Linked DNA regions of Mus musculus: region 2 is reported to be linked to region 1. The links are microRNA targets in miRTarBase. Many come from high-throughput screens and were not tested one by one. Region 1 holds a microRNA gene; the other region holds the end of a gene's coding sequence.
Evidence for each region. The annotated mature microRNA mmu-miR-7033-5p reads UCUCCAGGAGUCUGAGGGGCAGG and lies in region 1 at 2,824-2,846, shown strand. An mRNA with a match to its seed (bases 2 to 7 or 8) in the 3' UTR can be bound and repressed. Matches are read on the target gene's strand: a 7mer-m8 pairs with bases 2 to 8, a 7mer-A1 pairs with bases 2 to 7 and ends in A, and an 8mer does both.

Region 1 (7,938 bases):
CCCTTTGGAATGTAAAGGAGATTTATTTCTTTATTTTAAACTTTCTTTTTTTTTTTTTATTACGTATTTTCCTCAATTACATTTCCAATGCTAGCCCAAAAGTCCCCCATTCCCCCCCCCCTCCCCTACCCACCCAATCCCACTTTTTGGCCCTGGCGTTCCTCTGTACTGGGGCATATAAAGTTTGCGTGTCCAATGGGCCTCTCTTTCCAGTAATGACCAACTAGGCCATCTTTTGATATATATGTAGCTAGAGACAAGAGCTCCGGGGTACTGGTTAGTTCATAATGTTGTTGCACCTGCAGGGTTGCAGATCTCTTTAGCTCCTTGGGTACTTTCTCTAGCTCCTCCATTGGGGGCCCTGTGATCCATCCAATAGCTGACTGTGAGCATCCACTTATGTGTTTGCTAGGCCCCGGCCTAGACTCACAAGAGACAGCTATATCAGGGTCCTTTCAGCAAACGCTTGCTAGTGTATGCAATGGTGTATAAAGGAGATTTATAGGCAAGTAGGATTTAGTGTAAGCTTTGATTCATGAAGTAGATGTCATTCTTGTTTAGAGTTCGTTAGAGCCCATAGGTGGGGAAGCCAGGCAGCTCCACTGTCAGGCACACTTGGGCTCCAGTATTGGTATTGACACTAGGAGGTGCACAGGCTCCTGCAGGTAGATCAGTCGCCCTTGGTGTTTGCTTTTGCCTTTTGAGACAAGGTCTCATGTATCCCTGGCTATTGTGCATGCAGCTCAGGCTGGGTTTTAACTAGTAGTGATCCTCCTGCCTCAGCCTCCAAGCACTAGGTGTTCAGCTTGCACCACCATGCCCAGTTTGTATCTAATACTCATATTCATGGAATATCAGAATCTGTAAAAATAGAGGCTGTACTTTTTACTATAGATGATTTTTGTTAGAATATGTAATGAATACAAGAATTACCTCTTTATTTCTTTTTTAAGATATTTATTATTTTTATGTATATGAGTACACTGCAGCTGTCAGACACCCCAGAAAAGGGCATCTGATCCCATTATAGATGGTTGTGAGCCACCATGTGGTTGCTGGGAATTGAACTCAGGACCTCTGGAAGAGCAGCCAGTGCTCTTAACTGCTGAGCCATCTCTCCAGTCCTTTTATTTCTTTTTTTAAGATTTATTATTTTGCAGTATGTGGTGGAATACTCTAACAAGACCAGCCTGGCCTACATAGTAAATTGCAGCCAGGGCTATGCAGTAAGATATGGTCTTAAAAAAAGAAAAGAAAGATATTTTTATTTATTTGAGCCTGTGTGAGGCCAGAAAGCATCCATCATCCTAGGAACAGGGTTACAGTATTTGTGAGCAGTCTGGTGTGGATGCTGGGAACCAAACATGGGTCTTCTTCAAGAGCAGCAAGTGTTTCTTAACCACTGAGCCATCTCTCCAGTCTCTCAGAAAGGTTTAGTTTTGCTGTGTTTCTTGATTTTTTTTTTTCTTTTAGTTTTTTGAGACAGTCTCTCAGTAACCCTGGCTGTTCTGGAGCTCACTATGTAGAGCAGGCTGGCCTTGAACTCACAGAAATCTATCCACCTCTGCCTCCTTAGTGCTGGGATTAAAGGTGTGTGCCTTCCTGCCTGGCCAGGTCAGAATATCTGCCTACATAGCCATATTGTCAGTAGTAGTTTCAGATTGTCTCTCTGCTTGACTTGCAGCTGTGGAAGAGGAGTGGTCCCACATCTTCTCCCTTCTCCAGTCCAGCTTCCTCCCGCTCCCAGACACCAGAGAGGCCAGCCAAGAAGACAAGGTGATGACCGGTCCCTTCTGGTCACTTTGTGTGGACAGGGGCAGCGGGTTTAACAAGGATTAGCTGTTGGGCTGCTTTATCTGACTCAGCAAATCAGAGTCAAACCATACAAGAGCAGCAAAGTGCCTGCTAGAGTTGTGTCCTTGTCCTACAGTGTGAGCAACTGATGGTTGGGGTCCCTTCTCTGTCTCATACTCCAGTGGGAGTGGTGCAGAGGCCACTGGGAGTGGAGTGCAGAGTGGACCGGGTCAGCAGGGAGCCTGAGTCCCTGGCCCCAGCTCACCCTTCACTGGAGCTCGGCTCCCTCGGGGATCAGGTCTGTCTGTGTCTGGCCTCACCTGCCACCCAGTCTTTTTTATTTTCCCTATCTGTCTGCCTGTCACGGGCCTGCTTTCTCACCAGCTTCACTCCTCGCTCCTAGCACTAATCTGCTGTTAGAGCCTGAAGATGCAGTCTGGGGCCTGGACTTGGCAGGCTCTGAGGGAAGCTTTGCAGATCCCTGGTCTATATTTGATTAAAGGCTGGTTGCTCATGGCCTATAACAACTGCCTGCCTTCGTTTCTACAAGAACTGCCACATGGTGATATGCTGACACTAGAGCCATGGGAGTGTGCAAGTGTGTGTGTGAGGTGCTGTGCCGTCTCCAGGCCTTCCCAAATAACATCTAGCTTTCACAATCCCCACAGAGAGGAGGAGCCATGTCAGCAGTCCAGTTCTTCACCTCCCTTGGTGACAGACAAGGAGTCCCCAGGAGAAAAGGGTAGGTAGAGAAGCCATGGGCCCGAGAGGAGCATCTCCAGTGAAGTTCACCGTGTTACTCTGGGTGGGGCAGGGAAGATCGTCTTGTCCTTGAGTAGGGAGGTCAGCAAGCCTGTGTTTCTGTCTGTAGTTACAGATACAACCACTGGGAAGCAGCAGAGCTCATGGACTTCCCCACCCACACCTGGCAGCTCCGGGCAACGCAAACGCAAGATCCAGCTGCTGCCCTCCCGGCGAGGGGACCAGCTCACCTTGGTATGTCTTGTCTATCCTTCTCGGCTCTTTTAGTCTCCAGGAGTCTGAGGGGCAGGGTCGTCTCCAGCATCTTGGGCTTGGCCTAACCTGCCTCCATTCTCTTGGGCAGCCTCCACCCCCAGAGCTTGGCTATTCCATCACTGCTGAAGACCTGGACATGGAGAGGAAAGCCTCACTGCAATGGTTTAACAAGGTCTTGGAGGACAAGCCAGGTCAGGCTGGGCGCAGTGTGCTCCGCAGTGTCTCTGTATTCCTTTTAGCTTTCCTTGGAAGAGCAGTTGTAGAATACTTGATTTTTCCATTCATTATCCAAGGCTGTCTTCAGGGTCATAATCCTCCTCCTGCTTCAGCCTCCAAAGTGCAGGGTTGCAAATGTGCACCATTACAACCAGCTCTTAGATGTTTGTCCCCCCTGATTCCACCAGGGCTCTTATTAACAGGAACTGTCACTAATACTTTTCCCATGGGACATGGAAGTTTTGTTGTTTGTGACAATAATGTTACTGTGTCCCGAGTGCTGGAGCGCAGGCCGGGAGCCAGCAGTGAGGTTAGGAAGGAAGGAGCTCCCATGTAAGAGGCTTGTCTCTCCTCCAGATGATGCTTCCGCCTCAGCCACTGATGGCCCCCCTTCCACCAGCCCTCCCTTCACATTCACCCTGCCCGCTGTGGGGCCTGCTGCCTCGCCAGCCTCCCTCCCGGCTCCCAGCTCTAACCCACTGTTGGAGAGCTTGAAGAAGATGCAGGAGTCTCCAGCCCCATCATCCTCGGGTAAGCAGAGCAGTGTGCCCTAGGGTTACAGGCTTTTGACATGATGGCAGTGAGAGGCTTCAGACTGCCCTGGTCTGGAAATACACAGGGACAGCTGTAATACTGTGATTCAAAGGCAGCTGCCCCGAATCTGTGTCATTGATAAATTGAAGGTGTTGGGTAAGGCTGGTGAACCTTGCCAGCTAGTGCCTTCGTGCTACTGCACATGCACACACTGTGTAGCTGACTTCTCACACTGGAGTGCAGGCGTGCTGATGCAGCTCGGGGCCAGGCAGGCACCGTTTTGCTAGGGTGGTGAACATGGTGGCTCTTTGAGATGAGCAGGCACCTGTGTGTGTAAGGCAGTGCAGACAGTTGCAGGAGTAGCGTTCTCCTTCATGGCCACATGTGCAGCTCCAGTCAGGCTCCCTACTCTTCCCTTCCGCCTTTCCTGGAATCTGGGAGTCCTGGTGTGGTGGCTGCTGGAGGGGGCAGGCGTGCTGAGTGCCGCCCTCAGACACCCTCAAGACTCACCTCACTTCCTTTTCTTCTCAGAACCTGCTGAGGCAGCAACAGTTGCAGCCCCTTCACCTCCGAAGACACCCAGCCTCTTGGCCCCTCTTGTCTCACCACTGGCAGGGCCCCTAGCCAGCACCTCCTCAGACTCCAAACCTGCAGCCACCTTCCTGGGGCTGGCTTCTGCTTCGTCTATAACCCCACTCACTGACAGCAAGTCCTCTGGAGTCTCTCAGGCTGAGCAGTCTGTCAGCACCCCAGCCTCCACAGCCTCCTCCCCGACCCCAAAGCCCAGCATGCTGTTTGGGATGCTGAGTCCACCTGCCAGCTCTTCCTCCCTTGCCACTCCAGCTCCGGCTTGTGCTTCTCCCATGTTTAAGCCCATTTTTCCAGCCACACCTAAAAGTGAGAGTGATAGCCCCTTACCAAGTAGCTCCTCAGCCGCCACTACAGCTTCATCCAGCACCGCCCCTCCCACAGCAGCCAGCACCACACCCACGTTCAAGCCCATTTTTGACAAGATGGAGCCATTCACAGCCATGCCCCTGTCAACTCCCTTCTCCCTGAAGCAGACAACTGCTACAGCCACCACTACAGCCACATCAGCTCCTCTCTTTACTGGCCTGGGCACTGCCACTTCCACGGTGGCCTCTGGCACCGCAGCTTCTGCCTCAAAGCCTGTCTTTGGCTTTGGAGTGACCACTGCAGCGAGTACTGCCAGCAGTACCATGACTTCCACTTCCCAGTCAGTTCTGTTCGGGGGAGCCCCCCCTGTTACTACTTCTAGCTCTGCCCCAGCTCTGGCCTCCATCTTCCAGTTTGGCAAGCCTCTTGCCCCAGCAGCATCTGCAGCAGGCACCTCCTTTAGCCAGCCCCTTGCCAGCTCTACCCAGACTGCTGCCAGCAATAGTGGCTTCAGTGGTTTTGGCAGCACCCTCACCACCTCCACCTCGGCCCCTGCCACCACCAGTCAGCCCACGCTGACCTTCAGCAACACTGTCACCCCCACCTTCAACATTCCCTTTAGCTCCAGTGCCAAGCCTGCGCTCCCAACCTACCCTGGAGCCAACTCACAGCCCACATTTGGAGCCACCGATGGGGCCACCAAGCCAGCACTTGCCCCAAGTTTTGGCAGCTCGTTCACTTTCGGCAACTCTGTGGCCTCAGCCCCATCGGCAGCCCCAGCACCAGCCACCTTTGGCAGTGCTGCACAGCCAGCTTTCGGAGGGTTGAAAGCCGCAGCCTCCACCTTCGGCGCCCCTGCCAGCACTCAGCCAGCTTTTGGTAGCACCACGTCTGTGTTCTCCTTTGGGTCAGCTACCACATCTGGCTTTGGTGCTGCTGCCACCGCTGCTACCACCACACAGACCACCAACAGTGGGAGCAGCAGCTCTCTGTTTGGCAGCTCTGCTCCATCCCCATTCACATTCGGTGGCTCAGCAGCTCCTGCTGGCAGTGGAGGCTTTGGCCTTAGTGCTACCCCAGGCACCAGCTCCACCTCTGGAACTTTCAGCTTTGGATCTGGACAGAGTGGGACCCCGGGCACCACCACCTCCTTTGGAAGTCTGAGTCAGAACACCCTGGGCGCACCCAGCCAGGGCTCACCCTTTGCCTTCAGTGTGGGCAGTACACCTGAAAGCAAGCCTGTGTTTGGAGGTAAGTTTGGCAAGCCTGTTAAGGGTGAGTGCACAATAGTCTGCCTGCAATGTTAAAAGCCAACTGGCAATCCAAACTAGCATGGGAGGAATCCTGTGTAGTCAGGAAAGGTTCCTGGAGGGTTGGAGAGATGGCTCAGCGGGTAAGACTTCCTGATCTTAAAGGGAACCCAAATTTAGTCCTAGCACACACATCAGGTGGCTGTCACTGCCTATAGCTGCGGCTTCAAGTGTCTGATGCCTTCATCTGCCTCCATGGGCACTGCATTTTGTATGCACACACATACTTTAAAAAAAAAAACTTTAAAAGATAGATATTATGTGTATGTGTCTTTTGGCTGTGCGTATGTCTGTATACCACATGTGTGCTGGTGCCCACAGCAGCTAGAAGAGGGTGTTAGATCCCTGGGACCTGTGAGCTGCTGTGTGGGTGCTAGAAATTGAATCTAGGTTTATTAATGAAAGGAAAAGATGTTTGGTGTATACGGTCATCCTTAGCTTTATTTCATATGGTTGCTCATGCTGCACAGGAAGGACTTTTAACTCACCAGGCCATCTTCTCAGCTGTTGTAATTTATAGTGTGTGTGTGTCCACCATGCGTGTCTATGTGTACATGCATGTTACCATGGTTTACAGATAGGGATCTGGATATAACTTTATGGAGTTGGTTTTCTGCTTTCCCCTTACTTCTTAATTCTGAGGCTATACCTCAGGTGGCCAGGCTTGTGCTGCGAGTGCTTGTCGTCTTCACGCAGAGCCAGCTCACTCGCTCCTTGTTTGTGTTGTCTATGTGTGTGTTTGATACTGTTTTCTAGTGTAGCCCAGGCTGCCCTCAAATTCAAGATCTTCATACTTCATCTTCCCAAATGCTACAGTGATAGACGTATACCCACCGCAGGCTGCAGGGAAGGGTACTGTCAGGGCATAGAGGCAGAAGCAGAAGGTAGGTTCATGAGCAGAGAATAAGGCACGATTGGCTGGAGATTGCAATGCTGCTGGCAGAGTACAAGGTTGGTCATAGCTAGGTTCATTGTCTGGATTTTAAATGTCCAGGGAAGTCACAATAGAATTTTAAGCTTAAGGGTCTCATCTGCTGCGTGCAGGGTAAATTTTGGCCCTAAGAGCCGCTGACTTCTTTGGTAAATAGGAGAGAATCTCTTGTGAATTGGAGAAGATGGCCAAGGGCAGGATGCAGATCTGTTGAGGGAGTTGCTGGGAACATGAGAAAGGGGATGTAATGAGAGACAGTGGAAGGCTTGCAGCGTCTGGAATAAGTAGGTGGATGGGGCTGGGGAGACAGCTCAGTAGCCAGTGCCTGATGCTTGAAGGGTGGGGATCTGATTCAGTCTCCTGTGCTAAGAAGCTTGATGAGGCAGTGGCAACCTGTAATCTCAATGCTGGGTGTGGAGGTAGGCAGAGCGCATGGGCAGGAGACCCAAAATAGGCAGCTCCAGCTCAGGGAGAGCTCCAGAGACACCCAGTGTCAACCTCTGGCTTCTGTACTCTCCCATAGATGAGTACTACTCTGGTGCAAACACACACACAAACACACCAGATAATACTCAGGCTCTGTGTGTGTGTGATTAGCACTAAAAGGTCCTGAGTCTTGTGAAGTCACTTAAGAATGGTGATGGGGAGGGTGATGATTCAGGATCCTAGGTGGGGGAGGTGATTGACTGATAGATGACCCTCCAAAGGACCAGAACTGTTAATAAGAGTCTGGGACCCAAACCTCGGGAATTGGCCTGGGTGTGGTATGGCATGCCTGCCATCCCAGCACTTAGGTTTGGGCAGGAGGTTGGAGAGTTGAAGGCCAACCTGGGCTAAGCAGAAGACCCAGTCTCAAAAACAGCATAACAATGGAATTGAGTGTTTGAGGTAGGAGGGGAGAGAAGTGGTCTGGAAGCAGCATCAGAGACAGACAGCCCTGAGACATTATACAGAGCAGAGCATCCTGGGAAGGAGGGGGACCCTACAGATGAATGAGAAAGAAGGGGCAGGGAACCAGGGAGGGATTAACCTGACAGCACGCCTCACCCTCTCCCCCATCTCACTGCAGTTGCATAATGGAGAGGTGGCAGAGGCTGGCTTCATCAGCTCTGGGTGCTGGGGATAGGCCTGATAATGGTCTAGTTTCTAACTTTTTTCTGTCTCCCTTTTAGGCACATCTACACCTACTTTCGGGCAGAGTGCCCCTGCCCCCGGCGTAGGCACCACAGGGAGCAGCCT
Region 2 (7,938 bases), not on the chromosome of region 1:
TTATAATTCCAGATGAACTGAATTAAAACAGCAGGAAGGCAGCAAAGAAGTCTTTTGAGGAAGGGGGCGCTGTTTTCTGTTAGATCAGAGGATTTTTCTAGGAGTGGAGTGGGAAAGGGTGACAGGTTGACTGAGCCGCGCTTCCTGTACTTCAGGTTCTTGGGAGAACTCCTGGAGAGTCCAGCAGTAGTCTCTGGGCAGACAACAGGAGACAGACTAGGCTGGCAGGCATCTCATTGCTGCTGCAGCGTCCTCCAGCAGACAGTGGGTTCCTCCCTGACCTCCCCAGGAAACTCAGATCTTTGCTGGGACTCGCCAGGTAAGATAAAGATTGCTGTTGCAAGTCCTATTATCTAGCGTGCTCGGAAACACACCTCTGCTGAATTCGCCGGTGTGACCTCAGTGTGAATTCCTTAAGCTCTAAAACAGGGGATTGGGTGCATTTACGGTTTCCTAGGAGTCAAGTGGCTTCTGCATAGCACTTTGATGTATTCAGTGGACTGGAATCTGATTTCCACAGGTGGAGAGAAGAGCTTGGGACACTGTAGCTACTTTCTATGGACCTCATTTCTCCTTAAAGCTATACCTCCAGAAATGTAAGCTGTGTTTTCAATTCTGTCTCCAGCCTTGGAGTCCCGGCGTCAGCGAGCTTAGTAGCAGCGGGGAACGCCCCCTCCGGTGCGCATCCAGAGAAAAGCTGTGACACTCAGGCAGTGCCTGGGTGCAGATCCCTGTAAACGTGGGCGCATAAACCTCGAGTTTCGCGGGGCTGCTGAGTGGAATCCTGGTGGTCGCCTGCTCTCCAGCCCTCTCCAAGATGCATAACTTAACGCTTTTCGAGTCTGGAGGGGACAACGTGTCTTGCGGCGGCTCATCTTTGGGCTGTCCCAACGGGTCCAGCCTGGCTCCTCTGCCGCTGCCGCAGCCACTGGCGGTAGCAGTGCCTGTCGTCTACGGGGTAATTTGCGCCGTGGGACTGGCTGGCAACTCTGCGGTGCTGTACGTACTGCTGCGCACGCCGCGCATGAAGACTGTCACCAACGTGTTCATCCTCAACCTGGCTATCGCCGATGAGCTCTTCACCCTCGTGCTGCCCATCAACATCGCGGACTTCCTGCTGAGGCGCTGGCCCTTCGGGGAGGTCATGTGCAAGCTCATTGTAGCCGTCGACCAGTACAACACTTTCTCTAGCCTCTACTTCCTCGCCGTCATGAGCGCCGACCGATACCTGGTGGTTCTGGCCACAGCAGAGTCGCGCCGGGTGTCCGGGCGCACTTACGGTGCAGCGCGTGCTGTCAGTCTGGCGGTGTGGGCGCTGGTGACGCTGGTCGTGCTGCCCTTTGCGGTATTCGCTCGGCTGGACGAGGAGCAGGGTCGGCGCCAGTGCGTGCTGGTCTTCCCGCAGCCCGAGGCCTTCTGGTGGCGTGCCAGCCGTCTCTACACACTAGTATTGGGCTTTGCCATCCCGGTGACCACCATCTGTGCTCTCTATACCACTCTGCTCTGCCGACTGCGTGCTATCCAGCTAGATAGCCACGCCAAGGCCCTGGATCGTGCCAAGAAGCGCGTGACCTTGTTGGTGGCGGCGATTCTGGCTGTGTGCCTCCTCTGCTGGACGCCTTATCACCTGAGTACCATAGTGGCCCTCACCACCGACCTCCCGCAAACGCCGCTGGTCATCGGCATCTCTTACTTCATCACCAGCCTGAGCTATGCTAACAGCTGCCTCAACCCTTTCCTCTATGCCTTCCTGGACGACAGCTTCCGCAGAAGCCTCCGGCAATTGGTGTCATGCCGTTCAGCCTGATGCCCTTTCCACCTCTTTCCACCGCAGGCAGCACTGCCAGCTGGGTTCAGGAGAATTCCGGGACTGTGGTTCCCAAGTGCAGCCCGAAATCCTGAGGCCCATTCCAGGCATTCAGTACCACAGGCCCTACCCAGGACTGATACCACAGGCCCTAACCAGGACTGATCCGGGATTTGCCCGGCCTTGAGGTGAGGCTGGTGTGTAGCATGCCTGAGGACAGCTTGGGCCAGGGCACCTTACTATTTTGTCCCCACAGCTGAGGGCAGGGCTTGACACCTGAACGTAGGGTAAATGGTGGGGCAGTGTTGTTGGAACGTGATTTTAATTCTCTCTCTATTTCACTGTGAGTAGGCTCCTAGGATGTCCCAGGCATCTCTTCCTCAGCGTTAAGTCTGTGTATTTTGTTTCTTTGCTTTCCACCACGGATGACCTCCCTGGTAAACAGCCTGGCCTGATGCTTCTTAGGAACACTCTAACTGCCTGGCCACGCCTCACTGGAGATGTGTGTGTGTGTGTGTGTGTGTGTGTGTGTGTGTTAGAGTGGAGGTGTGGTGGTGTGGAGGTGTGGTGGTGTGGTGGTGTGGTGGTGTGGTGGTATGGTGGTGTGGTGGTGTGGTGGTGGTGGTGAAGGGGGCTAGAACCTAGCTGTGACTGACAAGAATAGAGATAATCACCTGCTCAGTATGCCCCACCTTTCTTCGTTTTACCGAAGCCGATCTATATGGCCCTAAAAAGACTTTAACCGAGGCTGCAAAAGCCAAGAGTACAGAGAAATCACCGGAGAGTGAGGTTCCAGCTCCCTCTAGAGGAGTCAGGTGTACAGAACGTTTCTGAGCTGCTTTTGCACAGGGTGGTGCACCAGCCAACAGCTCTTTAAATCTTTGGTCCTTTGTAGCTTCTGTAAAGTAGTCCAAAATTTCCTTCCTGCCTCATAGCCTTCACAGGCTTCCCATACAACTTAGACCATTTCCTTGTAACTATGTACAGTTTTTCTGGACCAAGAACTTTGTAAATAATACATATATCTTACTCTCACAGTCTTCTTAACTTAGAGGAATATGAGAAATAAAAGATGAGACCTGTTCCAACTATGGTTCCCCTTCCCTGAGTATTCTTCCAGGACCTCCCTTCAGTGAGATCCAGGTACGGGAACCGCCTTGCATCCCTAGCTTTTTCTTGTCTGGACACTTACCTAACCACAAGGAACATCTAAATTTTGTCCAATTCTAAAGTCCCGGGGAACATCTGCTTCTGATTACCCACAGGGAACAGTCAACACCTACTTTCCTCTCTTTAGTCTCTACTTATGGAAGACAAGCTCCAGGCCTCCTCCTCGAGGCCTGGAGTAACCAGACTCATCAGTGATAGCGTCTTTTAAACGATATGTTTAGGATGATCCCCAGGAAGAAATGATATGATTTTCAAGTATCATTTTTCCTATGGGAAAGTTTGGTTATATGTGGAACCAAGACTCTTGCCAGCAGACTTTGTTTACAAAGTTTGGCATGAAAGTCAATTATTTCTCAGTTATTTGTATTCAATGTTCCCTTCAAAAATATGCAGAAGGGAAATACTCTCTCTTGCAAGAGGAAGGCTAAATTTCCCTCTGATTTTGGTGTATGAGAATTGATTGGTTCCTACGGTGTCAGAGTTGTGGGAAGATTGGGGTAATTTTCAAGTACAAACTGAGAAAACTAATTTAGAGGCTGTGTGTCTTGGGTGCAAATAACAGTAAATTGTCTAAAAGTTGTCCATCAGTCATGCACTTGAACCATGGTCATCATGGCCTCAGAACGGGCCTCTGCTGTGGCCTTCAGAAGTGTCTGGAATGTGTTCATAAGCTTCAGACTTCTGGGAAGCACTCCACAGATATTTCTTTTAAAACTTAAATTTTGTATGATTTTCTGTAATTTTTCCAAATTAGGATTTTAAAATTGAGCAACCTGTAGCTCATCCAGGGTGATAATAAAGGATGCAGTGGAGCTTTGGACACAGATACAGCCAAGTACTGTCACATTAATTGGAAACCCAGTCTCCATACATGCAGCAGCAACATAGATAAGAAGGAGGTCCTGGTAGTTTTCTGTCTGTCATGCCATTGCTGCTAGAGATAGGTTTATGTCTGTCTTGCAGTCTCTGGATGCTGCCGGAAAAACACAAGAGAGATATAACTGTACCCATCACAGCTCAGTACAGACTGGAAGTCTAGTTTGCATCAAGAGGATTCAATATCAGTGTCACACTGGCTTTCTAAAGCCCCTCGTGATCACTTCACCTTTCTGTGAGCATTTGGGCAGTTATATATAAATAAATATATAAATATAAGGCATCTATATTTAACCTTTTATCTCTTAAGTAAAACATAGAATAAATAAACAAGTCACATAGTAGGAAAATTTGTAATTCCATAGTTCTTACAGCCTTGGTGTAAACTATGTTGTTTTAACGCTTCTAATATCTAAAAGTGTGAATTTGGTTTTACTTATTTTAGTATAATTGTATAAAGTGGGTTTAATGCTTTCTCAAGAAATGCAGCAATTTGCTAATTGATTGCAGAAGATCCAAGTCTAAAATAAAAGGTGAAACATTCTGTGTGACAAGTGTATATTGTGTTTCAAAAAAAAAGCCTACCAAAAATAAAATATAAACAACTGCAACAACAGCCACTTACCTCCGAAAACCAAAACAACTAAACAATCAACCAAATGAACAAACAAAAAAGGACTCTTATGCCATACAATGGGTATGTATCACATGAATAGAAAGCTAAAACAAGCAATGCCAAGAGAAAAGAGTGGAGAAAGATTACCTGCAGCAGGTGAGTGAGCTTGAGAAATGGTACCAGGCCATGCTTTCATTGGAACTGGGAACAGCAGGGGTTTTATTCGGAAAGCCTACAGATATGCATATGAGAAAGCACTTCAGGGACATGCACATCTGAGCATACTCAGTTAGATGGATGCAACTAAGCATGCTCAGTTAAAGGTTATACTTTATTTTACTTTTAAAAACTGCTTTATTCATTCACATTCCAGATGTTGCTCCCCTTCCCAGTCTTCCCTCCAAGAGTTCTTCACCTCATCTGCTCTCCTCTTTGCTCCTTCAGTCTTTCCCCTAACTCTTCCGCAGGGATCCCAACATCACTCCAATGGTTGGCTGTAAGCATCTGCATGTGTCTTAGTAAGCTGCTGGTAGAGCCTCTCAGAGGACAACCATGCTAGACTCCTGTTTGCTATCACAACATAATAGTGTCAGGGTTTGATGTCTGCCCATGGGATGGATCCGAAGTTGGGCCGGTCACTGGATGACCTTTCCTTTAGTCTCTGCTCCAATTTTGTCCCTGTATTTTCTTTAGACAGGAGCAATTCTGGATCAAAAAGTTTGAAGGTAGGTTGGTGACTCCAAACCTCCACTGGAGGCCCTATCTCTCTACTGGAGGTGGTCTCTTCAGATTCCATCTCCCCACTGTTGGGTATTTTGGCTAAGGTCATTCCCATTGATTCCTGGGAGCCTCTCACATCTGGGAGCCATCTAGAGATTCCCCTTGATCCCCACTCTCTCAGCTGCAAATTTCCATTTGTTCTCCTGACCCTCTGGGCTTTTCTCCTGTCTCCCCCTCTAAAAACACCACCATATCTGATCATGTCCCACTTCCCTTCCCTCTCCCCTCTCCCACTCAGACACCTCTCTTTCTATGCCTCCCATGATTATTTTGCCCCCCCTTCTATGTGGGATTGAAACATCCTCACTTGGACCTTCCTCCTTGTTAAACTTGAAACAATTAAAGAGGTGAAATAGTGGACCAGAATACATTTGGGCACATTCAGCTTACATGGTAAATACTTGGTGGACAATATTCGTGGGTGTTCTCAAATTGCATTGTGGGTAGTGGGGTGGTCAGCACTGTAGTTACACTGCAGTACTGGGTCATAACTAAAGCACAAGAGATATTCCCAGAAATCTACTTTCCAAGTAGGCTTTAGGTATGGCATTCAAGTTCAAGGTGAGTTAATGTAGGACATCACTTTACCATAACATCACTTAATTGCTAAGTTTTGAAAATATTTTCTTTATGGGAAAGTCATACAATTAGTAGGCAGAGGGAAAAAATGAAGAGTGAAATCTCCATATACATCTCTCTTATTGGTTATTTTATTTATTTACATTTCAAATGTTATCCCCCTTCCCCGTTTTCCCTCCACAAGCCCCTGATCCCCTCCACCCTCCTCCTGCCTCTATGAGGGTGCTCTCCCACTGCCCACCCACACCTGCCACAGCAGCCTGGTATTCCCCTATTCTGTTTCATCAAGCCTCCTCTGGACCAAGGGGTTCCCCTCCCAGTGATGGCAGATAAGGAAATCCTCTGCTACATATCCAGCTGGAGCCATGGGTTCTCCCTGTGTACTCTTTGGTTGGTGGTTTACTCCCTAGGAGCTCCGGGAAGTCTGGTTGGTTGATATTGTTGTTCTTCCTATGAGGTTGCAAATCCCTCCAGCTCCTACAGTCCATGCCCTAACTTCCCCATTGGGGTTCTCGTGCTCAGTCCAATGTTTGTGTACATCCACATCTGTATTGGTCAGGTTCTGGCAGAGCCTCTCAGGAGACAGCTATATCAGGCTCCTGTCAGCAAGTACTTCTTGGCATCCACAATATAGTCTCGGTTTTATGTCTGCATGTGGGATAGATCCCCCAGGTTTCTGGATAGTCTTCCCTTCAGTCTCTGCTCCACTTTTTGTCCTTGTATGCCATTTAGACAGGAGCAATTCTGGGTTAAACTTTTGGAGATGGGTGGGTGGCCACATCCCTCAGCCAGGAGGACAATGTCTAATCTCTGGATATGGTCACGACAGGCTCTCCCTCCCCTTTGTGGGGTGTTTTGGCTAATGCCATCTCTGTAGGGTCCTGGGAGGCTTTTGCTTTCCTGGCATCAGGGACTTTCTGGTTGCTACCCCCAGTTCCACATCCTTCACTGCTATACACCTCTGTTTAATTTGCTTACCCTCTGTACATCTCCTCCAACTCCTCCCATGCTTGATTCTTCCCTTCTTTTCCCCCTTCCCCTCTTCTTTTCGTCCCAAGTCCTTCCCACTCTTTATTTCCCTTAATTATTTTGTTCCTTCTTCTAAGTAGGAAGGAACCATCCACTCTTTGGTCTTCCTTTTTCTTGAGCTACATGTGGTCCATGAGTTGTATCACCAGTATTCTATGTTCTTTGCCTAATATCCGCTTATCAGTGAGTACATACCTTTGAAAAGAGGAGCTCCTGCCACTGTAAGGAAGGATTGCACAAAAATATTGGGCTCTATATTTGCATCAATGCTACATTAAAAAACAACAATAAATAAAACAGAAACTCAACATAAAAATCAGCAGGAAGAACCATGATAAACTTACAAGAAAGCATCAGCAATATTATCATCATCCTGACTTCACTTGCTGGGTTCTTATCTTTCTATATTTCTTTTGAGTTATCATTTTCGTGACAATATTTCCTAAAGATTGAACATATAGAAATGTTTCCCATTTCTCTATTGCCACACTTCTATGTTAAGTGTTCTGGTTTAACTAGTTACTATAATGGGTATATTTATGCATATCCTTTATCTTTTTCCCTTTCACCATTTTGTTATGGTATGCCTAGATGTGTATGCATTCCTTCACCTCAAATCTTAGCTGTCATACTGTTCCCTTTCCTCCTGCCATATGGACAACTAACTGCATTACCTGGATGTGTGTATGTTCCTTTTTTTCCCTTGTCATCATATAACGGTTCATCATTTATCTTTTTGTTTACCATCCCTATTCTCATATAAATCATTCATAGCCACCTTGTATTTTAAAATGATCATGATAATTCTAATATCACCTGAAACTGCTGAAAGGAGAAAAGCTACCATCAACTGTTCTTTGTGAATAAATAACTACTAAAACACAAAATTACATCATTTCACAGTTAAAACATCAGCCTGTTTAGAATAGGTGATTTAAGCAAGACTCATCAACATATATCAAAACTCCTGGATAGGAGACATACTGGGAACAAGGATACTGGCCTAGTGCCAGTGTCACCCCAAACAATGCTTACCAAGTGCAAAACTGAAAGAACTGTTTTTACAAAGCAGTGGTATGAT

Region 2: miRTarBase lists Npbwr1 as a target of mmu-miR-7033-5p. Seed matches in the 3' UTR shown: 7mer-A1 at 2,302-2,308 and 7mer-m8 at 3,147-3,153.

The regions. Positions count from the first base shown.
Region 1 is chr5:135,378,691-135,386,628 of GRCm38, reverse strand. Mir7033 (microRNA 7033) reads left to right here and starts at 2,819; the gene lies at 2,819-2,899. It overlaps Pom121 (nuclear pore membrane protein 121), which reads left to right. Exons shown (of 13, transcript NM_148932.2): 6 at 1,685-1,776; 7 at 2,463-2,536; 8 at 2,666-2,790; 9 at 2,900-3,002; 10 at 3,385-3,558; 11 at 4,093-5,709; 12 at 7,872-7,938.
Region 2 is chr1:5,910,173-5,918,110 of GRCm38, reverse strand. Npbwr1 (neuropeptides B/W receptor 1) reads left to right here and starts at 713. Exons shown (of 1, transcript NM_010342.1): 1 at 713-4,404. The coding sequence starts at 818. The coding sequence ends at 1,807.